Schizosaccharomyces pombe: one gene and its partners. The protein of the gene in region 4 purifies or fractionates together with the protein of the main gene of each other region. This does not show direct contact. Each region holds a gene or a part of one and is shown on either strand. Other genes may lie near its edges.

Evidence for each region.
Region 1: the proteins of rrp43 (region 4) and cti1 purify together in Schizosaccharomyces pombe (affinity purification with mass spectrometry, with the first as the bait; one study listed by BioGRID). This does not show direct contact.
Region 2: the proteins of rrp43 (region 4) and ski7 purify together in Schizosaccharomyces pombe (affinity purification with mass spectrometry, with the first as the bait; one study listed by BioGRID). This does not show direct contact.
Region 3: the proteins of rrp43 (region 4) and mpp6 purify together in Schizosaccharomyces pombe (affinity purification with mass spectrometry, with the first as the bait; one study listed by BioGRID). This does not show direct contact.

Annotation. Positions count from the first base shown.
Region 1 is NC_003421.2:2,036,807-2,045,211, forward strand, and holds cti1 (Cut3-interacting exosome subunit Cti1), read left to right. Parts: upstream 1-4,434; 5' UTR 4,435-4,477; coding exon 4,478-4,879; 3' UTR 4,880-5,905; downstream 5,906-8,405. Other genes in the region: met1 (uroporphyrin methyltransferase), read right to left, coding at 1,146-2,636; SPOM_SPCC1739.08C (dehydrogenase), read right to left, coding at 6,476-7,261.
Region 2 is NC_003424.3:5,317,741-5,327,699, forward strand, and holds ski7 (ski complex-interacting GTPase), read left to right. Parts: upstream 1-4,640; 5' UTR 4,641-4,786; coding exon 4,787-4,982; intron 4,983-5,037; coding exon 5,038-5,511; intron 5,512-5,571; coding exon 5,572-6,543; intron 6,544-6,583; coding exon 6,584-6,668; intron 6,669-6,705; coding exon 6,706-7,066; 3' UTR 7,067-7,335; downstream 7,336-9,959. Other genes in the region: zip3 (ZIP zinc transporter 1), read left to right, coding at 199-1,560; plasma membrane heat shock protein Hsp9, read right to left, coding at 2,659-2,865; U2 auxiliary factor small subunit Uaf2, read left to right, coding at 7,871-8,521; SPOM_SPAP8A3.07C (phospho-2-dehydro-3-deoxyheptonate aldolase), read right to left, coding at 8,980-9,959.
Region 3 is NC_003424.3:2,888,076-2,894,411, forward strand, and holds mpp6 (nuclear exosome-associated RNA binding protein Mpp6), read left to right. Parts: upstream 1-2,000; 5' UTR 2,001-2,082; coding exon 2,083-2,109; intron 2,110-2,145; exon of another isoform or gene 2,146-2,164; coding exon 2,165-2,704; 3' UTR 2,705-2,812; downstream 2,813-6,336. Other genes in the region: iph1 (metallopeptidase), read left to right, coding at 1-1,873; gor1 (glyoxylate reductase), read right to left, coding at 3,141-3,183, 3,235-4,100, 4,357-4,452; SPOM_SPACUNK4.20 (uncharacterized protein), read left to right, coding at 4,476-4,700; SPOM_SPACUNK4.09 (uncharacterized protein), read right to left, coding at 5,897-6,336. UniProt on the Schizosaccharomyces pombe protein: RNA-binding protein that associates with the RNA exosome complex.
Region 4 is NC_003423.3:3,331,182-3,339,064, reverse strand, and holds rrp43 (exosome subunit Rrp43), read left to right. Parts: upstream 1-6,119; 5' UTR 6,120-6,295; coding exon 6,296-6,339; exon of another isoform or gene 6,340-6,437; coding exon 6,438-6,773; intron 6,774-6,879; coding exon 6,880-7,312; 3' UTR 7,313-7,383; downstream 7,384-7,883. Other genes in the region: putative ATP-dependent RNA helicase Dbp3, read right to left, coding at 1-314; protein rhs1, read right to left, coding at 2,849-3,955; RNA polymerase I upstream activation factor complex subunit Acr1, read right to left, coding at 4,710-5,462; dph2 (diphthamide biosynthesis protein), read right to left, coding at 7,569-7,883. UniProt on the Schizosaccharomyces pombe protein: Non-catalytic component of the RNA exosome complex which has 3'->5' exoribonuclease activity and participates in a multitude of cellular RNA processing and degradation events.

The DNA of each region.
Region 1 (8,405 bases), on a different chromosome or scaffold from region 4:
GCTTGGGATTGTATTTATTCTATTGAAAAATTATAAAACTTTTATGGATGATAAAAACCTGAAATTGAAACTATCTTCCTGAGATCCTAGAGTTTTTGTATCTCCTTTCTTTTTTATAAATAAAAAATTTAGAAACCTATTGGGGTTTGGCATGAATTGTAAATGATTGAGAATATTTTAATATGGAGAATATTCAGTATTTAGCATAGAAGTGAGTACTGATTTAATTCATACAAAAGGTATTTATAAAAGAAATTTATAAGAAGGGTTTGCAGTATTGAGTAATCACTTCCTATCGAGTTGTAAACATTATTGTTGAAGAGATTTAAGCATTTGGTGCATGTTTGCTGATTTTTTTAAAATATCCAAAAAATAGATTCGGTATTTTGAGCAAAAGCCGATTCACAAATAGAACCAGTAAATCAATAAACCAAATATTCCTTATTATTCAAAACAACAAAAAATTTCTTCAGAATTATACACATTCTTAAGACACTGCTTTTGTAACAATATATAACATATTCTTTAACCTCTAAATAATAAATGCATCAGTGGTGTAGCGGTAACATCAATGCCTTCCAAGCATTAGCTCCGGGTTCGACTCCCGGCTGATGCAGTTTAATATTTGCTTTTTTAGATTATCTACTAAAATGAATATCATTCTACTAAAACTATATTGGATAAATGAATCATGAAACGTGTATCAAAATGTTCTAATACAAAACTGATATGTTGATTCTATCTATTTGTTCATCTATCCTTACATTTAAAATAACAGGTTATGATTGTGTATCTTTATTTAGCAGTTGCTAGTAATACAGATGAGTATAGTACACAAATATCAAGCCAAAATATCTTTCCACTGACCATTAGAATTGTTTTAAATTAAAATCATACTAAAAATAAAAGAACTGCTGTATACAAACAGAGTAAATAATGAACTGGCCCCTGAACAAGTACAAACCAAAAATTAAACCATGAATAAATATTTTAAGAAGAAACAACGAAGATTAAACTGACCGCATATTATCCAAAACAACCTAAGAACATGAACATTGAGGTCGAAAACAGTAAAAGACTTGCTAAAGGAAGATTAAAGACGAACCTACTACATATAATAAAGGGAAAATAATTCATATAGATAGTTACGCGGTGTTGCGAAGGGTATTACAACTGTATCCAGTAATCAGCAAACCAGGGGGGAGAGACTCGTACTTGTTGTATTCTTCCACAACGTCTTCCAAAGTAGAGAAAATGAACCTTTGATCAGGGCAAGAGACGCGCTCAGCTATACAAACCGGTAACACTCTAGGCCAACCGCTTTCAATTAGTGCTTGCACAAGAATTTCTAGTCGGTGTAAAGCCATTAGGAAAACTGTGGTCTGTGTAGGGACAAAAGAAGGTATTTTAGGCATCGAACCCTTTTGACCAGTTCCAGTACACACAAGAAATTGATCGGCCACTCCACGATGTGTAACGGGAATACCAGCAGAGATAGGGGCCATCAAAGCACTACTGATGCCAGGAATAACCGTTGGTACATAACCGTGTTGTGTAAAGAATAGATACTCTTCACCGCCTCGCCCATAAATATAAGGATCACCTTGCTTCAAACGGACAACATAATCACCTCTAGATAAAGCATCAAAAGCAACCTGGTGAAGTTCATCTTGTGCCTTATCCGCATTTCCAGGAAATTTTCTAGCAATAAATAGTGGAGTATGCCTTGGAATTAACTGTAATACCGCTTCTGGTACCAGCTTGTCGGCTAGTACATAATCGGCTTTCATTATAGCCTTTCTGGCAGCAACAGTAAGTAAATCAGGAGAGCCAGGTCCACTTCCAATTAAAGCTATTGAACCTCGCTTATGAGTAGGAAAAGCCTCAGGGTCAAGCGTCAATGAAGGCTTGTCCAAGGTGGTTGATAAACTTTCATAGGAGTTGGCAAGTGAAGAAGATTGGCTTGATGAGAGTGGAAGAGAGAAGTTGTCAGAAACTATGGCAAGAAGATCGTCCTCTGTCATCCGAACCAACTTCTCGAGGGGCCAAAAATCACTAACATGATTGATCCACTGTTTTTTTTCTGGAGTTTTAGTGATCGCTCGCACTCGGCCAAAACGCTCAATGGCTTCTGGCATACCGGAAGGAAGGCTACTCACCACGTGTCTCAACAGCCTTTGAGCTAAACGACAACCATTTGATGAAGTACTTAAAGAAATTTGAAGAGGTGGTTCTGACCACGTAGCTGGTAGAGTAAAGGAGCACAAAGAAGGATTATCAATGATGTTTAATGGGATTCGGTACCTTTTGCACGTACGATGTAAAATTTCCTTTTCATGGTGGTTGGACTCTGACACGAAAACAGCATCCACCAAAAAATCTGTCTCCTCCTTTCCCAGCGTCGTTAATGAACGAACGGGATCAAATTCAGAAATGGGAAGAATTTCAATAGCATCCGATTTTTTTGCGTCAAGCTGAAGATGACCAACGTCAAATCCACCATCAGCGGAGCTGCGACAAAACCAAAAAATTTTAGAAGAATTTTCACTTAAACATAAATTCACCCGTCGGTAAGCATTTTTTCCTGAACCAACGACTACAACAACGGCGTCTTTCAAGGACCAGGAAACAATCATTGTAGTAGTTTCTAATAGGTTAACTCAGGTGTACTTGGTAGAGAATAGGTTTTTGCCCAAAATTTTTTTTTAATCTCCAAATATTGCGTCAATCTTATTTTCCAATATATATATTTTCACTTCAATTTTTCACAATTTTAGTCACTTCGTTTTGGATTGTCTTGGTGGAGAAGAAGAGCTGCTGGCTGAAGTACTGCAAAAACCAGACTTTGTTGTTCTACGCAAAAATGCGGGAAAGAAAGGAAAGAAATATCTCATAAACCAACAATTTAGCCTTTAGCTTAAGTTACAAATTTTAATTCTTTCTACGAAGCAATCGAGCAATTGATTGCAACACTATTAAACTGATTGATTAACTTGTAGAGAAAGACAATTGTGCAGTGGTCGTTAAACCTCGGTAAATTGAATAAAGATTTTCAACGATAATGAAAACAATAAATAAATTTTGTACTTCCGAATATCGCTTTAAATCCTCTTTACGTATTACAACAACCCGTTATCCGACCTCCTTCCTTGTTCTTTTCGCTTGATGAGCGTTTGAGGTCTTGCCTACACTTTATATGACTGCATACATCAATCACCAAATGATGGCGCAATTTGCTGCAAAAATGATTGATCGTTAAAATTTTTTTGCGGAATACGGTAATCAACCAATAACCATACTTCTTTAAACCAGGTAAAGTACCAGCGGTAGAGCTCATAAAATATTTCTATCAAGGCATCGTTATTGCACGATATAGTACAAAAATAACCTTGCTAGTTAGTACATGACGAGTCCCTTAGTCACTGTAGTTTTTGCTAATTAACAAGTTAACTTGCATGATAGCTTTCCTCTAGCTTTGGGGAAAATTTGGCTTAGTAAGATAATGAGTAAAAAGTTTTAAGGAAGTACGCTTTGATATTCACAAAAAAAGAAAATGCTTTCGAACTGCGTTACTTAAGTATGAATGCAAACATCTGAATCCTCATATAAATAACAAACCACAATAAAAAAATGGCCCACTTGTAAATGTCATACTTCCTCCTAGCCAAATCAGAGATGTTAATATATATTATGTTTAGTGATAATGTTGCTCACATAGGCCTTAACGTTAACGAATTTTTGTAAGCGCTAAACGCATATTTTCCGTATTCATAACTTTACATTTTCTTCATGCATGGGTGAACTCTCTGTTGACGGCGAGTTTTCTTTTCTTTTTTTCTAAAGATATTTCAAGAGGCGAATCGACTTTTTGAGTCAAGCGAACAAGTGTAGCCTTGAAAAATTAGAACTAACTTTTAAGCGAATAGTGAGTTACATCGTATTTTTAATATTCCGTTAAACATGGTAAACTAAAGTTCAAATTGTCAACAACACAACAATATACTATGCTATACTGTATTGCGTCACACGTCACTATATGTTCACATGTTCCATTTACATATCGCACCGCAGATGATACGATGTTGATATTAATTTTAACAATAATCTATTAAAATCCAAATCATCTAAACAACGTAAATAGAGTTACTGCTAAACCTCATTCCTTACACAATTATAAGTTGTATTTGCAATAAATAACAATACAACTTGATAGTACAATACCTACACTCAGTTGCTACTTATATCACCTGCGTATTGCAATAATAATAGGACGAATGAGAAACTCATCGCAATTCAATGTATTGTTAAAGCAGATACCAAACTGCGTAGCTGATATACAAAAAATTTGAGGATAAATTAGCCAAGGGCACGGTATATTGTGTTACATACCTGCTTTCGACGTTTTTCTACATTTTGGAATTGAGGACAGAAGGTAGAATTCGCATATATCCACAGCCTGTCTCTCTGTCTGTTAAACATGGACCCAGAGTATTCTGAGCTGTTTGAAAGATTAAATAAGCAATTAGATAACGTGGAAGATGTTCTTAAACCATTGAAGGATGCTGAATCAATTTTTGAACTTGCTGAAGGAAAATCCGAATTGGAACAAGCAAAGTTATATATCACCATGTCCTATGCCATTAATTCTACTCTCTATTCTTTTTATAAGTTAAATGGAATAGACGCTAGTGAGCGACCCGTAATGCAAGAATTGCAGCGTGTTAAAAATTACATTAGCAAAATCCAGCAAGCTGAAAAAAATGTGAATCCCAAAACAGAAGCGGTAAATACGTCCAACGCCGCTATTTCCTCTTCTTCTTCTAATCGTCCAAAAGTTGCTAAGGACGCAGCTACTCGAATCATTAAACATCACACTTGATAGACGTTTTTGTTTCTTCTATTGACATGACTTTGGCTCTATGGATTAACGGGTGATAACTTACGAATGAAAAAAGTAATTAATTTTTTTTTTAATTAATATACATGGAATTTGGAGCTAATGGACGGATTTTACCGAAACTGTCTCTTTAGTTGCCTTTTTTTTTCAATTTTTTTTATTATTCGAGCGTAATACTTTGAAACAAGGATTTATCAAATATCAAAAAGGATTCCTTTACTATGTGCTTTAACTTTTTTTTTTTTTTACATACTTTGAAATTCATGTAAATGAAAGCGATTTTTGTTGAAGGCACTGTGTTGAATGGTTCGGTTTAGATGCATGCCTAAATTCTTAACATATCCTCATAGAAATGCGAAAACGTAGACGTGGAAAAATTTGTTTTTTATTTAAAGTATGTTTCTCTAATTGCAAAAATGAATATGGAATAGAACAATTATTGTCTTTTTTTAATGTACAATTTATATACAGTTTGTTTTTTCTTCTTTGTTTTTGGTTTTTTCTTTTTTCCATACTGGAGAGCTTTTAAACACCATGCAGTGGTGTAGGTTTTGATAACAAGTCGAAGAAAAGATGTCGGTTCTTGCTTCAATCCTCGTTCTTTCTCTCTTTTGTTTTTTAGTTCTCCTTTATAATAAATAGGTGTAGATGGTGGGGATTGATAGATTGAAATTAAAAGAGAGAGAAAGAGACAGAGGGAGAGAAAGAAAGAGAGAACAAGAAAAAGATAAAGGAATATATACAAACGGACTGGATATTGGGGAAAGTGTTTAAGAATTGTTGTAGGATTGTTAATAAGGATATCCTTCGATTGAGGGCGTTTGTCTTATGTTAACAAACGAATTTACATATGTTTTTTCGCATAAGCTAATGAGCCAGTTACTATTTGTTATTCATGACATGATAAGTAAAAACTTTAGAAAAAAAAGAAAAAAAACATACAAAGATCCATACTAAAGCTTGTTTCGAATCAATCAATCCCTGTCACAACCAAACAAACAATACGAGAATCACTTGTAAGGAAAAAGCAAACAAAAAAAATTTGTAGTGTAAAGCGCAACTAGGCACTAAAAGACTATATGCAATTCCCACTATCCATACCTGTCAAACAAAGCAAAGCGAAGCGACTTGACCCGACGCGACGCAACGCTGTGATACGAGTAGTTTAGTGGGAAAAGCCAAGGAAAATCAAAGAAAGCAATATAGGAAAAAATGGCCAAGTAAGAAGATACTATGTATGTGCCAAACTTTTTAAATTTTTGGAGTAATTGACAAAGTTGATTGGAAGAATATAAAAAAGAAAAGAAAGGTAATTGAGCTCTAGACACACACACATTTCATAAGGAATCTGGCCAAAAAAGGTAAACGTTAAAACTAGAAATTTATGAAAGAGGAGGAAAAGAGGTAAAGTAAAGAAAAGAAAAGTAAAGCAAAGTTAAGTTGAGAAGTAGAGAGTAAAAAGAAAAAAAAAAAAGGAAAAGAAAAGAAAGAGATGAAATGAAAATGAAAGGAATAGCAAACTAGCTAGCCTAGCTTTAACTAATGAAAATTTCTCTCTCTTTCGCCTCAATTCATTTCTTAAAGACAAGTATAACCGCCATCGACAATCAAATCCAAACCAGTAACAAAGGAAGAAGCATTACTGGCGAGATAGAGATAGGTACCACGTAACTCGGGAGTCAAACCAAGACGTTTAAAGGGAACATAGGGTTCCCATTGTTTTAAAAATTCATAGCCAGGCATGTCCGTAGCGAAGTATCCGGGAGAGACCGAGTTGATACGAGCAAATTCGGCCCATTCAACGGCTAAAGCCTTGCAAAGTTGTCGAACGGCAGCCTTGGAGGCACAATACGCAGCGATATGTTGAGGAGCGTTGACGATAGTAGCCGACATGGAGGCAGTTGCGATCAAATTTCCGAAACCTTGCTTTTTGAAAATTTTCCCCATGTAATAGGCAACGCGATAGACGGAATTGGTGTTAATGTTCATAACCTTTTCGAATTCATGAGGAGGAGAATCGAGAACGGACCTACGGAAGGGCATACCGGCGTTGGCGACGACAACATGAATCTCCTTAAAGATTTTTTGAATTTCCTCGACGCCGGCCTCGACGGTATCAGAGCGAGAGATGTCAATTTTGAGGGTATGAACTTGAACACCCGTCTCCTCGGCCAGTTTCTTGGCCTTTTCAGTGGGATCGGTGGTGAGGTAGGTAATGATTACATTACCTCCGGCTTGAGCAAAGGCAGTAGCGATGCTGAAACCGATACCTTTGGCGGCGCCAAAAACGACGCAGTTCTTGCCCTTGAGGCTAAACAAATCCAACACATGGGCGGTAGTGACATTAGCAGGGGGAGTCGACATGATGAATGATGGGTTGACAAGAGAGAAAAGAATAAAAAGAAAAAAAAAAGAAGAATATAAAAAAGAAATGGAGAACGAGAGAGAAAGAGTTTAGAGTAAAAAGTTGAAGAATAAGAAAATTAAAAAAATTGAAAAAGAAAAAAACTCAAAAGGGAGAAAGTTCTTGGATTGATAGACAAAGAACTATTTAACTCGAAAATTGAATTGAATTGATTTAACTTGACTTTGATGTGGATTTGCTCAAACTTTGCTTTTTGCTTTGCTTTGCTTGGCTTGGCTCGACTTGACTTGACTCTTGTTTGTTTGAAAGAGGAAATCGTCCTGTATTAATAACAAAAATCCGCATCTTCTCGACACCATTTTACCTTTGCGTTTATCAGCGACACCAACTCAAAAAGGCTCGATTCGAATATGTCATCTTGCTCATTTCATCATACCGATTCTACCAGACCTACTCTAAACAAGCCTAGCTCACAACATTCATGATAACGGATGGATAGACTGGCGTTGAACAGTTGGGGTAAGGCCACCTCACTATCGCCAAAGAGGGCAAAAGCTGGTGTCGAGAAAGAAGAACAACAACGTAACGCCATTTCACCCATTCAAATTGTGGGAAGACGGTGGTGTATGTAAGCGGGCAAGGTTATGAAAGCGAGCCCCTTATTTGCTAGAGCTGCCTTTCGCAAAATGTTTAACTTTCCAATTAGGTGGAGAAAACCCCGCTACCCCACTCTTATTCAACGTCATGTGCATAGTAGAGTAAAGGTAAAATGATTAAGCTTTGGAAAATCCATGCACGCCCACGAGAAAAGAAAAAATTGCAGCATTCAAGCACAACAACGCATGAATGCATAAATGAGAAAGAAGGTTCAAAGGAGAAAGGCTAAAAAGTGGGGTGAGAAGAGGAAAAGAGAAACGAAGGAATAACAATGAAAAAAATAAATAAACAAATAAATAAATAAAATTGAAAATAAAAATTAGTAAATAAGGTAAGGAAGGAGAAATAAGGAAATACATAAAGGGAGGGGGGAATAAAAGAAACGAAGAAAGTAAAAGTAAATAAATAAGGTAAACAGTAACAAAGAAAGCAACGAAAGTAAGGAAGCAAGGATAGCAACGTGAAGCATACAAGGAATAGCAACGA
Region 2 (9,959 bases), on a different chromosome or scaffold from region 4:
CGAATAACTTTTTTGTAAATAATTACTTGGAAGTTAGGTAACATCAATAGTGAGTAGGCAAGTAACAAAGGAGTACCCTATTATTGGTACTGTATTGACGCATTATAGCCCTTGGCCACAGATTTTCAAAATTCACCTTCCCCTTAAACATCAACCTGGCATTTGGGTTTTTACGGGATTTCATCTACTATTTTTAAAATGTTTTTATTGCAACGGTTTTTCATTTATGGGTTGTTTCTAGCATGTTTTTATACAACGGTGTTTGGAGAAAAACATTTTGAAGCGGAGGAATATAGAGACTCCTTTTTATCGCAGGAAAATATGAATAAAATTAATCATACAACTATAGAAAGGTTGTTCCGAGAAATGACAGAAAACGATCCCTCTTTGCTTTCTTCCTCAAAAACTCTGGCTGAACTTAGTAAGGGAGAACTTGCTAAAGCACGCGAAGATTTGAAGAGCGTCTTAAGTTTTTTGAAGAATAATCTGCCTGTTGATACTGAATCATCGTCAGAGGCTTTTACTATAGAGAAAGACAACAATTCTTGCGTTTGGTTGAATTCAGTTAAAAGCTTTGTAGAGAAGCAGTTCTCTTACTCCTCGGGAACGAATGGAATTCTCGCGACTTTCTTAACAGCAATACCACCTAACATTTTTATTCTTCTTGTTCCCAAGTCGTTCGACACGAGTATGTTAAATCTGTTCGTGGCAGTTTCTGCAGGTAGTTTATTAGGCGATGTTTTTCTACAATTACTTCCTACTGTGTATTCGACAAATGGAGGAGATTTTCCAGCATCTTCTGTTTATTCAATCCTTATTGGAGCCCTAGTATTCTTTCTAATGGATAAGGGAATCCGCATTTTAATACATGAGCGTCCGTCTTCGCTCTCTAAGCCAAAGAAAGACGGTGAAGAGACTTCAAGTGTAAACAAACCTTCTGCTTCTTCAACTCAAACTGACGTTAAAGGAGTGGAAGGATTGCGGAAACGAAATGTCAAAGATGATCAGAACTCTAAAGGTCACGAGCCTGATTTGATTAGACATGTAGTTGAAGAAGTTAGTGAAGAGTATAACGACAAAACTGTGGTATATTTAAATTTGTTATGTGATTCATTTCATAATTTTATGGACGGTTTGGCGATCACTTCCGCCTTCTTTACCAATACCTCCATTGGCATATCCACCACATTTGCTGTTCTATTACACGAAATTCCAGCAGAAATTGGTGACTTGGCTATACTTCTGAGAAATGGGTATACGAAATCGCAAGTACTCGTGTTGCAAATGATCACTATGGTGACGGGATTATTGGGAGCAATTGTCGCTACATATATATACACTGCTTCATCTTCATCTTCACCATATGGTTCTTTCCTTCTACAACTTGAGGATAAACTCCTTCCTTTCACGGCTGGTGGTTTCCTTTATATAGCTTACCTAGGCGTATTTCCCGAGCTTTTGGAAATCAACTTATCAAAAGGAAAGCTGGGAAATATGATTTACACGGCATTGTACATGATGTTTATTGTTGGAGGTTTTTCTTTTTTATATTATGTTTAAAGTGACAGATAACTTACATTAGGGCGTGGTATGGAGTTGATATTGTACTATTCTAGAAATATAAATCGGGACTAATATTTTTTGTCCTTCATTTTTTCTGGCATTGTGCTTTGTCTTTACATTTAATATTAAAAAATTACACATTTATGAAGATGTGTAGAAACATTATTTTAGTTCTTTTATTAACTTGTTAATTATTATGGTAGAATTAAGTTGTTCACATTCACATAAGGCGCTTTCGTGTTCAAACTTGTAATTTTTGATCCCTCTTATTTCAAAATTTACGCGCTTTAAATCGTTTAAGAGTATTTTTATTTCTTTTCCATAACCTGTTTCTATTCTAGCTGACAGAAAAGATTGTAAACAATCGGCATTGAGAGTAAACAAATAATGCCAATTTAAAATAACATTCAATGTTTTTGCTTTTCATAAGCGAAAACACGTTTTGACCAAACCTGACAAGACTAAAACTATATGGAATATTATTATTATAAGGGTAAAGGAAACGAGTAAGAATTCAAGGGCAATAAACAAAACATCCTAACTTTTTTACCGTTGTTTCTATCACCATCCTAATGTTTTGAGTTTTCATCATTGTAACATTCCTATGTCAAACAGTGGATGAAAACACTTGTTACCCAAGTCACAACTACTAACTGTTTTACAGTACTGTTTTTAAGTTACTCGTTACTTATATGTAAACAATACAGTTGCTAGATATGGTAGTAAAAAGTATATAGGGTATAAGGGAAAATATATTTCATTACTTCAAATCGATAAAGATTTTGAACCAAAGAATATATAAGCACCCACTTTTTGAAAAAAATTTGTAAAAAAAGTCGAGCAAATATATATATATGATGGTATCACGTAACCTCGTTATATATCATAAAATTAGATGGTAATTGGTCAAGGATGCAACCTCGCATTAGAAAGTGATGAGATGGATCGTTCATAAAAACAATCCAACCACTACCTACTAAATTGAGGAGACCTCAAACCATTTTCGTCCGTTCATCGGTAAAGAAATCATCCCGATGCTTTGGTGGATTGAGTTTCACCAGCCAAAAGCATGAATTTTAAGTCATAAGAACCTCTTTACAACTTGTCATCAACAAAGCGTTGAGCCTTGTCATGAGCCTCTTGAGAGGTGCTCTTGTCCTCGTCAGAGGTAAAAGCAGAGGCGACCTTGTCGTAGGCACCAGTAATGGATTCCTTGGCCTTGTCGAGGGTAGACTTGGAGGAGTCAGGAGTCATTTTCTCCTTGCCTTGTTCAGTAAAAGACTTTCTTGCGGGATCAGACATTTTGAATATTTAAGACAATTAAATTGATTGGAATTGAATTGAATGATTAAACTGTTGAACTTGGACTCGTATTTATAGCTTCTTGTCCAATTGCTCATGTCATTATGATCGCAGCCCATTACATCACATTTGCGTCAGTTAGCATTAGAAACTGGAGAAAACTGCGATCCAAGGAATTACGTAGTTTTCTATCAGATAGCTCGCTATCCAATCAGACAAATAATGAGCAGCTTCTAGCAAAGCCCCTTTTCTTCGCACCATTCGTTTTCTGAGCTACGTAAGCTATTTCCAATGAGCGCCCACTCTACTTTCTTATGATGTAATACAGAAGCTTTGTGGATTTGCAAAGCGAGATAGCGAGTACGGTAAAACCCTCGCTAGGTTAGAGGTTCAAAGTGGAGAGAAGCGAAGTGGTGGTACTAGTTCAAAGAGAGAGAGAGAGAGAAAGAGAGGAAGAAGGGGAAGTGCATCTTGTCTTTAGAGTGAGTATCCCTTAGGAAACAAACTTATTTCTGTAAATAAATTTTAAGAAGTTTTCTTTGTCTTTTAAAATTCCGAAGTATTCTTTGCATGATGGTGTTGTTATTGGGTGATGAAATTTTGATCTAAATAGGGGAACTTCACTTGTTGAAAAAAAAAACAATTAGAGCAAAAACAATAACACTTTGCAAAACGTTATTTAAAAGATAACCACAACCATGTTCAAAGTGAGTATGGCTTAGTAGAGGCAATCTCATTCAGGTATTACACACACTGCGCACAATAACACAATTGTTTCAACGCCGCACGTATTGCATGCGATACATCGTGAAATTCCGTTATAAGCAGGGAATATTACGAGATGCTGCAAACTGCGGATTACACAACTACGCAATAGAGAGTTGGTAAACCATTATTTTGTTAGACGAACTGCAATGATGGTTTTGTTAAATCAATAATAAGGAGAAGTAAGGTGTAGCTAAAGACCATTTATAATCTTTTAGGAAGCGTAACCCAAGGTGTGTAACCCGAAGTAGAGAAGAAAAGATGATACGTGAGAAATGTGAGATGAGAACATGAGCAAAAGTAGGAATGGCTCGACGTTTTTTGGTTTCTTTTTTTTTTTTTTTAAATTGATTTTATTTTATTTATTTTTAACTTTATAGAAATTTTTTTATTTTTTTTCTTATTTTATTTAATTTATTTATTCATTACAGCATTTCGAGATGGTTTCAATATTTTGTTTCTCTTTATTAATTTTTTTTTTTTTAAAACAAAGAAAGAAAGTGAAAGAATAAAATAAACTGGCCATCTTCTATTATACCCATTCTCAACAAAAACTCTTTTGAATGTAGTCCAATCACCAAAGCAAAAAAAAGTAAATTCAACTCAATCGTTCTTCCTTTTCTTTTATTTACTCGTTTTTTTTTAGGGATTTCGCTTCATACTCGTTTTTTCTTTTTAATATTCATTCCATTTTCTTTTCTTGAATAATTCGTTTACTCCTTTATTATTATTATTTTTTTTTTTTTTTAAATTTCATTCATCTTTGTATTTTATCTCTCCGTTTCACTTCTTTTCGTTCATTGTTATGGTATTCCTTTCCACAACTCCTTCACTTATATACTTCTTGTTTGCCTTTTTCTTTTCGCTTGTTTCAGTCCACTAATCATCAACTTGAATCTGTTTGCTTACTTGTATACATACCAAAACCTTTCTCATTCGAGTATGTCTATCATACCACCCAATTTTCCATCTGACTATATACAGTATATCTGATTCGCTTAATCCATCCTAACTTCTCGTCATCCACCTTCCAATTTAACATTTTACGCATACATGCTAATGAGCTTTTGAGCAATTGATTTGCATTTTGTATATTATTATAGACTTATTTAATGAGTAATTTTTTTGTCTCGATCCATCATTTTCATTTAGAAATATGTCTAGGTTGTCTCAGTTGTTAAACTCCAAAAAAGCAAAACAAAAACCTCCGTCTGAACATCCCATCGGTCTTTCTTCTATCCTAAAACAAGACTCCTCTTCAAGTTCTGATTCTCCCAACTTTTTTCCATCCTCCAGCACAAATGACCATCAAGAACGTGACACAATTAACGACACTAACTTTGTAGTTCCAGGTACGCCATTATAATTAGTCACAAAAAGTGGAGAACTAGAAATTAACATTCATAGAGAAACAAAAAACATCCAAGCTCGCATTACTCGCCGCTGAACGGAAAAAATTGCATTCTTCTTTTCCATCCACTCAACAGCAGCCGCCTAAAACCGAAAAGGAAAAGGAAAAAGAGCCTATTCAAGCTAAACATAAGAAAAACGTTGAAAATGATTTTTTGTTGCAAAGGTTTCGAAAGGTTCGCATTGCAGAGAAGAAAGACTCTGAACAACCATCGTCTCATGAAATTCATCTTACTGACGATGATGATAAAACCACACTCCAAAAACAAATGGTGGAAAGCGACCAACTGAAGAAGAACCCCCAAGAGGTAAAATTAGCTCCTCCTTCCTCATTTGCGAAATGTCTTACAGGCGCAAAGAAGCGCGTTTTTGAGGACCAAATTGAGATTCATCTAAGCAAAAGTTCACTTTTAGGATTTAACGCCCCTAGCCCTGACGACATAGTTTTGATGGCTCAATCTAAATCTAAAAGTATGCTTTGTCTCCTTCAATTCATCTTTTCCTTTTTTTTTCGCGCTAATTGTTAAACAGGTTTCCAAAAACACAAACGTTTGGACGAGCAATTGCTAAACTCTGTAAAGTCAATGAAGAAAGTTTCTCAACAATTGAAACCTCAAAAAAATACTAATGATTCAAATAATGATCACACCTTACTTTCCCAAGATCAGTTAATTGAACTTTCCAAATTAGTAAAGCCTCGAACGAAACTCTTGTTGTTGGGCCCGCCCAAGTCTGGTAAAAAAACACTCCTTTCTAGATTATTTTTTCAAATTGGATCATTTGATCCCAAAACCATGCAAAAATGTACAGTACTGAATGCCAAAAAAGAAAGTTTGAGCTCAGTGCTAAAGTCCACCAAAACGAAATGGTATGATTTTGAAACATTTTCCAACAGTTACTCCTCAACTATTATTGATTTTCCTTTAGGAATCTTCACTACTAATGCAAGTTCTCGAGATAATTTTCTAAAACATTCAAGTTTGTTTCAAGTAATGAACACAGCCATTTTCACCATTGATTGTCTGAATCCTTTGGAAGGTCTTGATGGAATATCTTCCATTTTACAATTGATGAATGGCTTATCTATTTCAAGCTATATGTTTGCTATCACTAAGATGGATGAAATTGAGTGGGATGAAAATAAATTCATTAATCTTGTTAACTCGATTCAGAGCTTTCTGAAAGAAAGTTGCGGAATAATTGAGAAATCAAAATTCATTCCGATAAGCGGACTAAAAGGAACCAATCTTACATCCATTAGTCAAGAAAAATTATCCCAGTGGTATAAATCTGATACATTGCTTGGCAAAATTGATAAAGAAGCAGATACAAATCATGGCACATGGAATTTTCTTCTTAATCTACCTCTCTCTTTAACAATTTCACACATTACTCCTTTGCCAGAAAATCAATCACATATTTACTGTAGCATCCATTCAGGCATGCTTCAGGATTCGCAAAAGCTTTATGTAGGCACAGGGAGATTAGAAACACAAATCACAGGTACGGAAGGTGTTCAATTATTTTATGTTAATCAAAAAAGGACTGAGCAGTGATGAAAATCCCAAAGGGTTTAATGTTGCTGGGGATATGATTCAAGCCAAAATCCCTACATTACCCAATTTATGGTAAGTTCTTTGCAATTCTTGTATTTCTAATAAATAGTCCTGGGATTTTAATTGCTGATAGTATCGATGCCTTTACTTCTTCGAAAACTGCTTACGTTAATGCAACTTGGTTTCACGGTTCTCTTGAAAAAGGAAAGTCGATGCATGTAATAGCCCTATTCGGCTGTCACGCAGTCCTTACCAAACTGTATTGCTTTACAGACAGTCAAGAAAAAGCTCCTAACGCAATCGGAAACGATCTTGAAAGAAATCGAACCTCACTTGTGAAAATTGAATTAGAGAATGCTTTCCCTCTCGTAAAAGAAAGCTACATTAACACCTTAAGCCGCGTTTTATTCGTTTCAGAAAAATGGAATAGCTTAATTGCGTTTGGAACAGTACTATCTCTGCATGACTGAATCCCTAACTTACGTATTATACTCAACTCCATATTAATTTTGCATTCGAAAAAATTTTCCGTCCTTTTTAAAGAAATTCTCTATAGATTGTTTTAAATATTGTAAAACTACCGATGTTGTTCATTTGCGTACATCTCAGGCATCGTGACATTTGGAAACAATTTGTTCTCGAGTAAATTTCCTGAGCAAAAAAAAGGAATGTGCTGTGTTAAGAATAATTTATCTTTTTTTCTTTTGAATCGTTGGCACATCAGTCTAATAACAGTAACTACTTATTCTTGATATTTTCCAAATTCGAATATAATTAGGGAAATACAAGGGAATATCTGTATATCGGATAGTTGTAAGCTACGCAGTTTGGTATCTGATTTAAGGATACGTAGAACTGTGGTGAGTTTTCCTTGTGATCTATTATATTACAATACACAGGTTATATAAGTAGCAACTGAGTATAGGTATTGTATTAACTGGGTTATAATGTTACCTATCACTAATATAGCTCATAACTGAACTGAGGAACGAGGTTCAGCAGTAGCTCTATTTATAGTATTCAGATAATATAGATCTTAATAGATTATCATTAAGATCAATCTCCATATCGTATCATACATGGTACGATATATAATTAGAACATGTGACATATAGTGATACGCAACGTAGTGTATCATAGCGTAGTGTAGTACTGCTGACAATAGTGTGCAAGAATAATTTAGAAAATTTGCGTAACTTAACGAGATGTTGCACGCCACCATTATAAGACTAGAATCATGTTGGATCACTTTATTTCATAACCACCATATAAAAATGGCAAGTCATTTGGCAAGTATTTATGGTACTGAGCAAGATAAAGTCAATTGCTCATTCTATTATAAAATAGGAGCTTGTAGACATGGGGAACGCTGCTCTCGTAAACATGTCAAACCAAATTTTAGTCAAACGATCTTATGTCCCAACATGTATAAAAACCCAATTCATGAACCAAATGGCAAAAAGTTCACGCAGCGTGAACTTGCAGAACAATTTGATGCATTCTACGAGGACATGTTTTGTGAGTTTTCAAAATACGGTGAAGTTGAACAATTAGTCGTCTGTGACAATGTTGGAGATCACTTAGTCGGAAATGTTTATGTAAGATTCAAGTATGAAGAGTCTGCCCAAAATGCTATTGATGATTTAAATTCCCGATGGTATTCCCAAAGACCAGTCTACGCCGAGTTATCTCCTGTAACTGATTTTCGCGAGGCATGTTGCCGGCAACACGAAACTTCGGAATGTCAGCGGGGTGGCCTTTGTAATTTTATGCATGCCAAAAAACCAAGTCCTCAGCTTTTACGCGATTTGGTACTAGCACAAAGAAAGTATTTGGCCTTAAATGCAGCAGAAGAAATGAAAAAGGAGCCCAATAGTGATTCCACGAATCGATGGGTCAGTGTAACTGCTGAACGCAAAAATTAAATAGCAACTTATGGAATGTATTTGTTTTGGATTCTGGTTTGCTTTTGTACGGTTTTACTTCGTTTATTATGATTAATCTCTGGCTATAGTTTGTTGTGATTTAGGTTATTTAAATAGATGTTGCATTCTTTTATTGTTTACTAATAAACTTGATCTTTGTACAACTGTACTCATAGACGTTTTAAATTTTGTGTCCAATGTGCCTATGGCTGATTACAAGCTAAAGGAGATCGATTAGAAACATATGAAACGATCAAACATTTCGCAAAACTTGCACAGCAATTCTTAAAAACGAAGGTGTTATTGGTAGAAGCTGTGTACGATATAAGAAAAAAAAAACAAAAAAAAATAAATAGAACCCGTATTTAAGCCAAAATTGTTCAGTTGTTGTATGTTACGAAAAAATAAGTTTCAAAAATTAAAAAAATTAAAACTGCTGAATATAACATTTATATGTCTTAATTACTTTTTTGGTTTTGACGGCGAGCACGGACAGCTTCAGCAAGATCGTCTAGCATTGGAGCAGTTTGTTCCCAGCTAACACAAGCATCAGTGATACTGACACCGTACTTGAGAGTATCCTTAACGCCAGGACGGATTGGAGCATCTTGACGACCTTCATTGATATGAGATTCAATCATAACACCAACAATGGAAGAGTCGCCATTTCTGATTTGTTCGGCGATGCTCTTGGAGACCTTTGGTTGGTTCAAATGATTCTTGCTTGAGTTGCCATGAGAGCAATCGATCATGATACGAGGAGGAAGGTTGGCCTTCTCAAGATCTTTGCGAACGGCGGCAACGTGCTCAGCATCATAGTTAGGACCCTTCTTACCACCACGCAAAATGATGAAGGTATCCTTGTTGCCCCTGGTCATGGTAATAGCGGCGAGACCTTGTTTAGTAACTCCTAGCATTGTGTGAGGATGGGCGGTAGCACCAATGGCATCAATCGCCACACCAACAGTACCATCAGTACCATTCTTGAAACCAACAGGGAAGGAAAGGGCAGAAGCCAATTCACGATGTAATTGAGACTCGGTAGTACGAGCACCGATAGCACCAAAACTGAGTAAGTCGGCGAAGAATTGGGGAGAAATGTTGTCCAACATCTCACTGGCCAAAGGAATGCCAAAATTGGTAACGTCGCAATACATTTGACGAGCCATCCTAATACCCTTGTTGATAGCAAAAGAACCATCCAAGTTAGGGTCGTTGACCAAACCCTTCCATCCGATAGTAGTACGGGGCTTCTCCAAATAACAACGCATGACAACGCACAAAGCATCCTGAAGCTCGTCAGCTTTGGGCTTCAGCAACTTAGCATAGTCCATGGCCAATTTAGGGTCATGAATGGAGCAAGGACCGACAACAACGATAATTCTGTCATCTTGTTTGTTGAGAATAGCTTGAATCTCCTTTCTGGAGTCAGTGATGA
Region 3 (6,336 bases), on a different chromosome or scaffold from region 4:
TTACCAGAGGGTTATTAAAATTTTATTTGAATATATAAGATTGCTCGACCAGACAAATGCTCACAAGTTTTTATTTGAAGAAACCCGTATCATGTCAGAGGCTCAATTTAAAACGAGACAAAAAACCCCTGCTTACCAGTATGCGCATGTTGTTGCTAGCAAGCTTCAACGAGAATATCCTCGTGATAAAGTCCTTTATTATTCCTCAGTACTCACTGAATTTGACCCTAAAGGTATTCAGGAGGTTGTTGAGAGTCTTCGTCCTAATAACTTTTTTGCCATTTTAGCTGCTCATTCAATTGAGAAAGGACTTGATAATAAAGAGAAGTTCTATGGCATAGATTACGGATTGGAGGATTTGGATTCTCAGTTTATAGACTCTTTGCTACATATTAAGACATCCAGTGAACTTTACTTGCCTTTGGCAAATGAATTCATTCCTTGGTCTTTAGAAGTTGAAAAGCAGCCAGTAACGACGAAACTGAAAGTGCCGAATTTGGTGCGAAATGACAAATTTGTAAGATTATGGCATAAAAAGGATGACACTTTTTGGGTACCTAAAGCTAACGTTTTCATAAATTTCATATCTCCAATCGCCAGGAGGTCTCCCAAAGTTTCTGTGTCGACGACACTTTACACGCGATTAATAGAAGATGCTCTAGGAGAATATTCTTATCCTGCTAGCTTAGCTGGTCTTTCCTTTTCACTTTCACCATCTACTCGTGGCATAATACTTTGTATTTCAGGGTTTACTGATAAATTACATGTACTTTTGGAAAAAGTAGTCGCAATGATGCGTGATCTCAAAGTTCATCCGCAAAGATTTGAAATATTAAAGAATCGCTTGGAACAAGAACTTAAAGATTATGATGCTTTGGAAGCATATCATCGTTCAAACCATGTACTCACATGGTTGAGCGAACCGCATTCGTGGTCAAATGCTGAGTTACGTGAAGCTATTAAAGATGTCCAGGTGGGCGATATGTCTGATTTTATTAGTGATTTATTAAAACAAAACTTTTTAGAATCTTTGGTACATGGAAACTATACCGAGGAAGATGCCAAAAATCTTATTGAATCCGCTCAAAAACTGATTGACCCAAAACCAGTCTTTGCATCCCAGTTGAGCCGTAAAAGGGCTATAATAGTTCCTGAAGGTGGTAATTATATTTACAAAACTGTGGTGCCAAACAAGGAAGAGAAAAATTCTGCTATTATGTATAATCTTCAAATCAGCCAGCTTGACGATGAAAGATCTGGAGCCCTAACTCGACTAGCACGGCAAATAATGAAGGAACCCACTTTCTCCATCTTGCGTACTAAAGAACAACTTGGTTATATTGTTTTTACTTTAGTTCGTCAAGTCACGCCTTTTATAAATTTGAATATTTTTGTGCAAAGTGAGAGAAGTAGTACATACTTAGAGTCCAGAATTCGTGCCTTGTTGGATCAATTCAAAAGCGAATTTTTAGAAATGTCCGACGAGGATTTCAGTAAGCACAAATCAAGCTTGATTAACTTTATGCTCGAAAAGCATACAAACTTAAAAGAGGAATCTTCTATGTATTGGTTACGTATTTGTGATGGATTTTATGACTTTACCAGATTGGAAAAGCAAGCAGAAATTGTGTCTACCATTACCAAGGATGAGTTTTACAGTTTCTTCATAAACAACATTCATTATGAAGGAGAAAATACTAAAAAAATATCTGTGCATGTTGTTTCTCAACGCTGTGAAGATGAAGTTTACGAAATTCCCAATGTTACTATCATTGAAAATGGCAACATGTTCAAGGAAAGCATGACATTGAGTAAAGCGGCTTTCCCACTTAAACCCTTTGATGAAATCGATAGGTCTTTATTATTTAATTAGTTTTTTTTCCCTAATCCGATTCTCAAATTTACTGATTTTATATTCTCATCTTAATTTCAGTTTTGCATTCTGGCACTGCGGTTTTTCTCGCTATCCAAACAAGTGTGACGAGACCTACTCTTCTGCTAGCTGCAAAGTCTCTTTTTCATAGATTTTGTAAGCAATAGTAAAACAATTGTTTTTTTTTATGATAAGATATTTATTTTAAAATGTCGTCTAAACTTCTTTCTATGAAAGTACGAAATTTAGTCAAATTTTTAAGAAAAATTTCTACTAACCTGTATTTTGTAGTTTATGCAACGCGCTCGAGGCATTGACCCGAAGCAAGCAGAAGAAGAGTTAAGCAAGAACATTGTTACAGATGAGCATTGGAGTCTTGCAGGAAAAGTTGATTTTTTACCCCAAAAGATGACTCGTAATGTAGAATATGAATCGGGTTATGGGGGTCTGATTGAAGAAAACGATCTTGAAAGTCATTCAAATGAACCTAATTTAGTACAAGGAAGAGCTAGCTTTGGATTATTTAATAAGGAACTAGGAGAGGAAAATGTGGATGAAAAAGATGTTTCTAAGAATGAAGAGGTTGATGTAAACGGTACTAAAATAACGGACACATCGGAGCTTACAGAAAGAGAACGTCGTAAACAAGAATTAGTGTCTAAAAAGGCGGAGGCATCCCGTAAAATGGAGGTGAAGGCCCCGGCAAAGGAATCCAAAAAGAGGAAAGTTAATGAGTTGTCTCAAGATGTCATTTCTCTACATTCCCCCAAAGAGTCCAATGCCCGAAAAACAAAGAAAAATAAAAACAAAAAGAAGAAAAAACGCAACTAAGAGTTGCTCATTTTTTTTTTCAATTTGACTGGACGTTCATTGTATGAATAAGGGATGTGAAGCATTTTTGGGTACTGTAAATATTAATTAAAATTTTCTGAATTATTATCATGGTCCTTTCTAACTGTGTATTATTAAACCTGGAGAAAAAAAGAGAACCGCTACATATCAACGATGCTTTTTTGCTATTAAGATGTAAATGTAAGAGTTTGAAACTACAGCAGTAGTTCATCGTTGTCGTTTTACGAAATCTGCTAGGGAGAAAGAATGAGAAAGAACAGTAGAAATATGTATTTACTATATAATGAAAATAGTCATGAATAGACCATAATTTGAGACGAATGAATCAATATTTGAACGACCGTATAACATAAGCATATAAAAACATTTAAGTCGATTTACGTAAAGCCGAGGTAAGTAGACAGAAAAACATAATCTACTCTATATCACCACGTTGTTCAGGAACCAAATTGGGAAGTCTAGAAAAAAAGTTAGAAATTGAAAGAAAGGGGAAAAACATAAGGACTTACGAATCATTGACAATTCCATTTTTGACGTTCATGAGAACAGCGCATTCCATTTTGTATTGGGTCTCAAGACTGTTTGTACCTAAATGAGGAAGAAGAATCACCTTTTCGTTCTCCAAAAGACCAGGATGAATTTTGGGCTCTTCTTCAAATACGTCAAGACCGGCAGAGTAAACGATGCCTTCGTCGAGAGCTTCGACGAGAGCAGCTTCATCCATAACGGCACCACGTGCAGTGTTGACGATGACAATTCCACGCTTCATCTTTTGAAATTCTGGTTTTCCAATGATATGCCGGGTGTGAGCATTCAAGGGCAAATTGAGGGAAAGCACATCTGACTTGGCTAAAAGATCGTCAAATGAGACAAACTCGGCACCTTCAGCTTCTTCCTCGGGAAGGGGAGTACGATTGTGATATACGATTTTCATGTCAAAGGCGCGAGCACGCTTGGCCATGGTCTTACCAATACCGCCCAAACCCAAAATACCAAGCGTTTTACCCTCGGGATCATGAGAGGGTTTGCAATTTGCATTCCAGTTGTTCTTGTGTAACTCAAAGATACCTTGGTTAAATCCACGAAGGGCACCTAACATTAAGAAGATACCAACGTCGGCGGTTGCATCGTCGACAGCCTTGGGAACGTGGGAGACTTGAATACCACGAGCGGTACAAGCAGCCACATCAACAGTTTCATAACCAGCACCCAAATGGCAGATAAACTTGACGGATGGGGGCAAATTATCAATGATTTCCTTGTCAAAAATGCCCATGTAAAACTTGGAGTTGTAAGTACGACAGATGGCCTTTACATTTTGAAACTCGGTTTTGCATTTGGCCAAGAAGTCTTCGCGAGTGCCATCGCTGTAGGTCTAAAACGACATTAGTAAACAAGAACAGGTAAACACAACTAAGCGCATATGTTGAGGTTTTGTCGGGAAGCTAGGAGATCCGCTAGATAGCCAAGAAATCCAACAGAATCGCAGAAGCAGAGGACGAGGGAGAAGAAGCAACAGAACAACAAACAAGCAATCACTCTTGAATTTTTTAGTTCCATATCCTCTGCTCATCCTTCAACCTCCATCTCCCACTACTGTCCCTTCTTCCCTCCCTTCTCTATTTCTTTACCTTCAACTCTGCATATTTTCCAAGAGCTTCCCACTCCTTATGAGCGTGCTTCAAAGTGCCAACGAGTAAAGCTGCAGGTTTTCCACTAAGAGTCATGATGAATACAAGTCGTTGAGAGGATGAGACGATCGATTGATTATTTTACAGAACCTTCGTGCTTGAGTTCTGGTATAGTTGATATCTTGAATAAAGGCTTTCTGTCAAACAAAAGCAAATCGCACACACAAACACACAAAAAAACCGCTGTACAACTATTTAGAAATCTCGAGTTGAGTACAACAAAGAATGTGATGGAGATGTGGGGAAAGCAGGATATTCTTCGCTTTTTATGCTTTTCTGAATGAACAAAAAGGCAACGATTGTAACAGCGATAGTTGAACTTAGGTTTAGTAAGATTGGTTAAACAGCGGAGAACTGAGGTGTTTAATGTCTAGATCCCGCACTCTGCGTTCTTTTCTTACGTACACACGCACTCTAAATAAGACTATACCAACCTGAACCAACTTGGTCAAATCTTAAGGATTAGTGTGCCTGCTGTTCCACTGCACTTAAATAGTCTTACCGGCTTATCTATGATGTTCGTTATCTATGGATCACGTGGGAGACGAAGGAGGAGCACGGTACATGATGCTGATATATGGAGATTAGGAGGATGGGCGTGGTACATGGAATTGTAAGCGAGCGTGCAAAGTAGAAAGAAAAGTCCACTAACAAGAGGAGAGGAAGTAGAAAGGGAGAATGTGTGAGTGGGGGGATGCGAGTGATCGCTGAGTGCAAGCATCTGTAGAGTTAGTGGTAAGAAAACATGGTTAGGAAGGATGGAATTGAAACTGGTTTAAAAACTCGAATTGTAGTGGTACAAAATGAAACACATAAAAGTAGCGATGCAAAAACATTGGATCAAAATATCCGCATATTCCGAGGACAAATACGTTGCGAACACAACTACTTTTTACTCATCTTCCATTTGTTTGTCGCCATAGATTGAATCGATAGTGTAGGGGAGCTCCCAACTTATAGATGATCAACACTTTTTTCGCAACCAAAATAGTCACTTTGGTAGTACAAGTTTAGGACATTTTTTCCAGGTGTGCATGCAGAGACAAATGGGACTCGTAAATTGGTACTAATTCGTTTGTTTGTTTGAAAATCACCGACACACATTCGTCTACACAAATCATCGCAATCTCATTGTATACAAAGTGCCGGTTCACACTTCCACAATTTATAACCCAGATGCTTCATTAGCTTAGAAGCAGATAAATCTGCTTGACTTGTTTCTTAGTCATAGTATTCATTTCATCTACAAAAGTGTTAGAGACACAATCTAGTTATTCCCACTTGCTTCTTAGTAATGTTTATGTTGTAAACAATATTTCCTCAATACAACCAAGTCATTTCCTAGTCATATTATGTCTCATCAACAAATTATTACATACGCACACTTCAAACCAGATCAATAAAACTCCCTTGTTACAATCAAACTTTTAATAAAGCAAATAATTTTTTCAATAAACCTTCTAAATGTTTTTTCCTCTCCCTACTCTACCTTTTGAGCAAGCAAAATTTGCACTGGACGGCCGTCTTCGATAAATCCAATCTCATCTTTTAAAACCCTAATTCGTCCATCCGACTCTGAAACTATTGCTGCCGCTTCTCCTTTTTCGAATCTATGATCACTTCCTCTAGGATGTTCATACTGATGCACCCCATCGTTGACAAATGTACACAAGAAGAGAAATCCGTTATTTCTCAATAATGAAGAACTTTGTCTCAGCAACGCACGGTTTAAGAATCGAATTTGTAGAACTAAATCGTATTTGTAAACATCACCTTCTGGAACGTTTTGAAAATCAGCTAGCATATCTGCCAAAGAGATTGCCGTTGCGTTTGGCTCTTGTTTTCCATCTCTAGTATACAATTTCCATAATCCCGATGCATCTACTTTAGCAACTTTTTTTCCTTCTATCCTATCCTCTA
Region 4 (7,883 bases):
AAAGAAATATTATGCTTCTTAATGTAACGGTCATACGCTTCTTCATCATTATGATTAGAAGCGTTAGCTGAGCCGATCGCGGGTTGTGCGATTTTTGCTCCCTCTTCCGCATTGATTTCTATCGATTCTTCTTTAGTTTTTGATTTTCCTTTCTTTGATTTCTTTTTATCCTTTTTTGAAATTCTATCCTTGTCGGCAGAGGGCTTATCTTTTTTATGCTTCTTATGCTCATGCTTTGATTTCTTCTCCTTTCGCTTAACAGAAGCTTCTTCATCCGCCGATCTTTTTAACTCTTCCACTGATCGTTTCGCCATTTTTAAAAGGAAAGCTTTGAAGAGAAAGGTTAGAGTAAAAATATGCAAAAAAACATTTTCCTTCAGAGATATTAACGTAGTAACCAAGTAATTGTTATCTATGCTTAACGATATATACAATATTAAAATCCTAAAACAAAATTGCATTACGTTCTTTTCGCGCTATGTAAGCTATTGTATCCCAGATTTTTTTTGTTACTAACAAATTGGTCTTGTAGTACGAAAGATAATGCTCACAAAATTTAAATAATTATAGATTAAAAAAAATCATTCTTTATATTTTCATTAAAAAAATATATCCAGCTGGCTGTTTTTTGTTTGATTGTAGTTGTTTCATTATATTACTAGAAGGATAATAGTTACTTTTTGTGATAAGAATATCTAATAAGATTATATATAGGTCATTAAAATCTTTACCACAGTATATTGTTTTAAAAAGCCGCTAACAAGCTAGGTAAACAGAGGCAGTGAGTGTGTTTCGTTATTAATTAAATTTATTGTTTCAAAAAATTATTATCTGTCTAAATAATTGGAAGCATCCTGTCAATTGGTTTTTTACTAATTACGAAATTTATTAACATAATTAGATTGGACAGAGATTGGGTTGTGTTTTGAGAAATAAGCTAGAAGCAGTGAAGTAATGGTTGCGCCCCATTATTCCGTTTTAGAAAAGACTGTTGTCTGTATGTATCATGGATTAACTTATAAATGCAGAATCCTTTTTGATCATCTGCTATTAAATATTGCCAATGTATTATTAACATCGGTTAAAGAAATACATAAGGGTCCAAAGCGCTTTTAGGAGTAGGAAGCTAACTGCATATTAGAATATATATTACCATTGGAAATTGCATAATTAAGAGGTATGGATTTATATGATTAGAAGTCGCAAGACTTTCTACTTAATCTTTTAAAATCTACAAAGCTGTTTTGAAATGATTGCCATTGCGTTCGATGTGTGTAACCTGATACTTGAAGTAGAAGTAATCGAGTATAAAATTGATTTATTTATGTTTTTTAATTAAATTTGTGTTTCATTAATTTAGCTAAAACCAACTAAAGAATTTCAAGAGTCATGGGTTTTCTGGCTTGATATTTAACTAAGTAAGGTTTATTAGTATAAATTTGGAAGTTTTTTACAATGTTCGAATAATGTTGTCTCTCTCGAGTTTACTATCAGACATATTCTAAAAATATTAATTGAACAAGGTTAAGTGCCTATCGCGGTTAAGCAATAGAGGCGAACCTAATCAATTTCCAAATTGTCTATAGATTTGCTATCTCGTGTAATTTAGTTACGGATGTATGGGAGACGGATACTTTTTTTTTTACCTCCTAGAATGTCAATTAACTAGCATTACTACATTCACGATTACTGACTACTCTTAATTTTTTTTTTTTAAGAATCTTCACCATATCTATTATTTGTATTCTAATTTTCTTTATATAATGTTCACCTTTTAAATTTCTCACATATAGCGAACAACGCTTCCGAATCGGTAGTAATTTGTACCAACTTTATGCGAGCGAAATAACGGCCAATAAATGTTACTATTCATTAACTTAAATCATCACTAATTAACATGAAAGAGTACAATGAAGTCCAGGTTTGCTTTATATATGTGAATTAAATACTATAAATTATTAATAAAAAAAATAATTTCTAACCAAATCTAGTTTATCAAGTAAAATAAAATTGATTTTGAAATTTGGCTACTTAAAATTTTAAAAAAATATTTACATCTTTATGCTGTTGATTCACCCCCCTGAAATAAATCCAGATAAAGAGCACGATGGCCTGTGAAAGACAAAACTTCTGCACAGACGTAATATCATAAAAACCAACAACCTAGACTCAAATGCGATTGACCATGCCGTTTGCTGTGACAAGAAGCATGCGATGCACTCAAGAGTAGTATACCCATGTACGATAAGAATCCCCTAACTTTGATAGTTCAAACTAAATACCAATAGAAATATCTAACTCTCCCATTTTTAACCACTGTCCTCTCTTTTGTCAAGAAAATGCAAAGATTTATCACCATAAACCTATGTGCCGAAAGTAATAGTCAAGTAACTTGACATTTTCTTCAATCCAGAACCTTCTCACAAAACAAACTATTCAACCAAGCAAAAACCCTTCCCACACTCAAAAGTTCTTAGGAAAAAAAACCATACCTTTAAGCAACGTCGACAATTCGTGAAACACTTTTAAAAAACATAAAAGTGAAAGCGAATTAAAAAATTGCCGGCAACTTATTTAACAAAAAAGTTACAATTTTTCTGTTTTCCATTTTTAGAAAATAAAGAAATATCTTATGCTCACAATATTAGGATAGAAATCATCAGCACCAATATTAGATTTCCTTATCTTATTCGAATAAGTTTCCAATGAGCGCTTTAAAACAACAGAATGCCCACAAATGCAAAAGAATTAAAATTATAAAGTAATAGATCACAACCTTCAAAGCTCAACCTATAAATAAAATACTATTCCGTGTCCAAGAAAGTTCCGCATCAAGAAAATGTAGCAATTACCACACGTTGACACCTCCAAGAGTACTGGCACAGGGAGAAGACCAAATCTGAGAACTTAAAGCAGAAGTTGAGTTATGAGATTTAGATAGAGAGGAAGACAATCCAGACATATCATGATTGTTCCCGCTGTATTCTTGCTTGAAGTCCAAACTTAGTGTTGGTAGTGAAGAAGAAACAGAAGAGCCAGTGGACTGCGGAGAATCAGCAACAGCAGAAACATTGTTCACTGCTGTAACTGGTGTGGCATTTCCATTGGCAGCCGGTGGATTTGGAGGCCTCAGCGTTTGGTCAGTAGGAGTAGAACTATTACTGAATGCGATCTCTTTACGAGAAGGACGCGTACCGATCGGAGCTATCGATGAAGGTCGACGACGAGAAGGAATCGATAAAGATTCCATGTTAGCGGACTCTATGAAAGAAGAGGGCGTAAAGCTATTTGAAGCAGATTCAAACAACGAAAACCCAGCCGATTTTGAAGAAGAACGCAATGAAGAGGAGAGATTAGAAAGCCCACCAGATGGTAAACTAGCAGCACCGACAGTATTGTAAGAAAAGGAGGAGCGTGTCGGAGTAGCAAGATCATAATACGAAGAACGTGAATGATGAGCACTACTAGAGAGCAAAGACGTTGTGGATCTCCTGGGATGTAGTAATGAGGTACTAGCTTGTGAACCGAAATTGGAAGTAGCATTACCTGGTAACGAGCTTCCGAGCATGCTGGAACCAAAACCACTAGAACCGACCAAACCACTTGCCGGTTCAGCAGGAGACGTACCCAGCAGATTAGAGCCTGCAGTAGGGGTGCTCGAAAGTGTGCTTTTTAACAAACCAGAGCTGGGAACATGACTCATTGAAACACTGCCATTTAAGGCTTCGCTCAATGCACTCGTCGAAAAGGGGTTGTTCACTGAGGAGGCAAAACTATTTTTTCGACGAGGTGCAATCATACCATTTTTTACGAGATTGTCATAAGCCGATTCAACTTCTTCAAATTGACTTACAAAAGCCAAATCGTCCTCTGGCTGAACAACATTTGTTGGACCGAGCCCATCCCAATAAGAAGCGGCCGAAAACCAACTGTTGACTCCATCTACAAACGACATAAAGACAACTCGTTGTTTTTTTGAAATTGGCCTATTTTCAAAGTTTTAACCAAACGTTGTTTACTTCAAAAAAAATTTCCTGCCAATTGTGGTTTGCTTTGGATAGGTTCCTTTCACAGCGTTTACCAAGGAGCCGCTCCCAATATTTCGCTAACTTTTGTAATCGATAGTCTATTGTAACTGGGTTGCCATCCGGCAACTGTTCGTTCTTCGCTTCTCTATGACTTTTTTACTATTTCCGTAGTATTTGTTATCACTTAATCTCCACATTTTTTCTACATCGGACTTCAAGTTACAGTACCACGTGCCGCCCTTATTTTAAACGAACACACCATCAGCTTTGCATAGACTGTTAAATAGCTTATACAATTTAGTAAAACTGTGTAACTTAGATATATTGGAAAACAGTATCATAACAGTAAAGATTTAACCTCAGCAAATACTTGCCACTTCCAGTTTAAAGTGTAGGATGAACTTGTAAGCATGATAAAGTTGAAACAATATTCTTGTTGCGTAGAACCTTTTTCCTAGATCAACGCAAAAACAAAATAACTTAAAAAAAAAGAAAAGAAATTCGGATGCAGAAAAACTATATGTGCAAATACGGCGGGAGTTACACAAATAATTAAACATATACATCAGCCAAAAGATGTTTACTGGAACATTAATTGTTGAGACTTACGCAGATTGACCTGTTCACAGATGCGTGTTTTTTTTCAAAATACTCATACTTATTAAATTTCCCACCAATTTCTTAATCCTCAAATTCTATCGAGATTTCTGGGTTAGAGTGTGAAACTTTTTCAATATCAATACTAGGTTGTAACGACATCTCTTTGAATAATGATTGACAAGCTCTTGTACCATTGCCCAATGCAAGAACGTCTGCTTTTTGCGACGAGGAAAACGAACCGTTTGTGACTCGAGCAAGTCCGTAAAGAATCTTCCAATCCATAGGCTTTACACGTGATTGCATGCTTTTGCTTCCCTGTTCTTGTCGAAAAGTATCAACCGAATCAAAAAGGCGTTCCAATTTTATCTGTAACCTTTCAACCAAGTATCGGAGGCCATCCGGATTAGGCAGTTCCTCAGAAGAAGCCATTCTACCCAACTTGTGTAATTTTTTTGATGCTAAACGCACAGCCAAATATGCAGCCTCTTGGCGAAACCTCGAAGCCGAGGTTCCATCAAAAAATGATTCATCGGGGATGGAATGAATTGTAGGCCATACTGCACGTAGACGTGGTGGAATCCTTCGTTCATAACCGTCCAAATCGCTTTGCAATTCATTTCGACGAGTTATACCAGCTTTATAACTGCAATAAAGTTGAATACACAAATTTTTCATCTCAGATCTTCTCAGTTCGGAAACAATTTCTCGATACTCTATTAGCTGTGCGTATAGAGCATCTTGCTTTCGCATTTCTTTTTCATCCGAAGTATCCTGAGAAGAGGAAATATCCTCTTGACTTCCTTGCTGCTCTAATTCTTCCTCAGAATCATTCATAGCATCATTTCCTCAGAAGGTTTAGCATCCGGCTGTTGTGTTCGTAGGCTAGAGGTTAAGGAAAGGTCATTGTACCTGGCGCGATATTAAGTGTGTTTACTGACTTTTTTTTTTAATTTCCTTTAACTATAATCTAATAGAAAAAAACTTTTCCTTTTTTTTATTAATATAAGACTTTTGCTTCGTCTAACAACCGATAAACTAAGAGTGTGCAAATTTTGAAATATAAACATGCACCCAAATAACTTACTTTAATTTAAGAGCTATATATTATGCTACTTACCAAATTCCGTATGTATTCTGCTGACTTTTAATTGTTTAATTATGCCTTATTTTCTTTAACCATGGATCATTGTAAATTTTGTTATTTTACCTTTTTTTAAAAAAAAAAAAATCAGTAGAAAAGGCCTTAAATAAATTTTTTTCGAATTAGCATTTTTAAATGTTAATTATGTGATCTCTTTTTTCAAAATCGTTTAAACGAATTGGGATTTTGTAGCTAAAATTCAAATGAATTATCAATCCTTAATTGAAATTTGCACCGAATATACCTTCAATAAATTAAAAAAAAACCAAGGAATTTAAACATTTTAAGGACCTCACAAACCTTTTATTTACCATATAAGTTTTTCATACTTTACTTCGTACACCTATTTCATCCCTCTACTCCATTTCATAATTTCAACCTGTAGACAAAATTCAGCACATATATCGAATTCTTGTGATTCATATTCATTTTATATATTTTTCAGTATCGTTCTTCAGTTATTTGGTCTTTCTACGTTACTATATCATTTAGCTTCGTTATTGAAACACTACATTCTTTTCACATCATGAAAACTGTTTCGGGGGTAAAACAGCTTTCATTTACACCTTCGTAAGTTGCTCTTTGATTTCTTATTCTATCTTTTTTAGTGCTCTGTTTCCTTTTCACTTTGTTTTTCTTTGTTACAGTACTAACATTTTACTGGATAGAATTTTTAAGAAAATCACGCCTGAGCAGTATTTATCACATCTTCTTAATCAGGATGTTCGATCAGATGGGCGGTCTGTATCAGAATTCAGAGAAATTGTAATTAATGATAATTGCATATCTACTGCTAATGGTAGTGCTATCATTCGAGCTGGCGAAAATGTCTTTGTGTGTGGAATAAAAGCAGAAATTGCTGAACCTTTTGAAAACTCTCCCAATGAAGGTTGGATTGTTCCCAATCTTGAATTATCACCTCTTTGCAGTAGCAAATTTAAACCTGGCCCTCCTTCTGACTTGGCGCAAGTTGTCTCGCAGGAATTGCATCAGACTTTGCAACAGTATGTATCAAATTATTGGAATTTTTCTAATTTTCTACCATACGTTTCATTTATTGTTAAACTATCATTTAGAATATTTAGTTACTTTTACTAACAACTTATACAGATCTAACTTGATTAATTTACAGTCCCTATGCATTTTTGAAAAAAAAGCAGCCTGGGTATTGTATGCTGATATTATTTGTTTAAATTATGATGGAAGTGCCTTCGATTATGCATGGGCAGCTTTGTTTGCCGCTTTAAAAACTGTTAAATTACCAACTGCTGTTTGGGATGAAGATTTAGAGAGGGTTATCTGTGCTTCTACCCTTACAAGACCAGTTCAATTAAGTACTGAAGTTCGTTCTTTCTCATGGTCAGTATTTGACGACAAGTTGTTAGCCGACCCTACAGACGAGGAGGAGGACCTTTCAACTGAATTTTTGACAATTATGCTTAATAGCTCCAAAAATATTGTTAAGATAATAAAGCTTGGAGGCACTCACATTCAACCCCTTTTATTAAAAAAGTGTATTGAGGTTGCAAGGTCTAAGTTCTAACAAATTTTTGGGTTATCAAGGTGTATAAATTTTGAAAGTTTGAAAATATTCAAGTTCGTTTTTAATGCTTGAAACGTAATATTGATCTTGCTGTAATATAAAATACTATAGTCATAAAGCTAATTGATTTTCAAATGCTGTAGGAAATTTTTTTTATATAACTTATGAACCCTGTTTATCTCCTTTAACCAGTAAACTTTTTTTTGTCAAACTCTAAAACACAAGCATAGGAAGAATGATCAACTCAATACCCGATTTATTTACCAAAATCACGTTGAATCTTTTCTTTGCTGCCTTCACCAACATATCCTTTGGCGATGCCACTCTGTCCTTCGTATAATTTACTAGGACCTTCTCCTTCATCTACACTGTCAAGTCCCGACCAAGATTTTGACTGAAGAAACGCCGCTGCTGGAGAGTAAACCCCGTTCACTGCAAGACTTCTCATGCCACGCTTTTCTATAGAGGCTGAGGACGAGTCATTATTCTTTGCATCGGCAGTCTCAAGAGTAACGTCTAAATGTCGCATCGGGGTTGAATTCACAAACTTTCCAGTAATCAGACTAAAGTG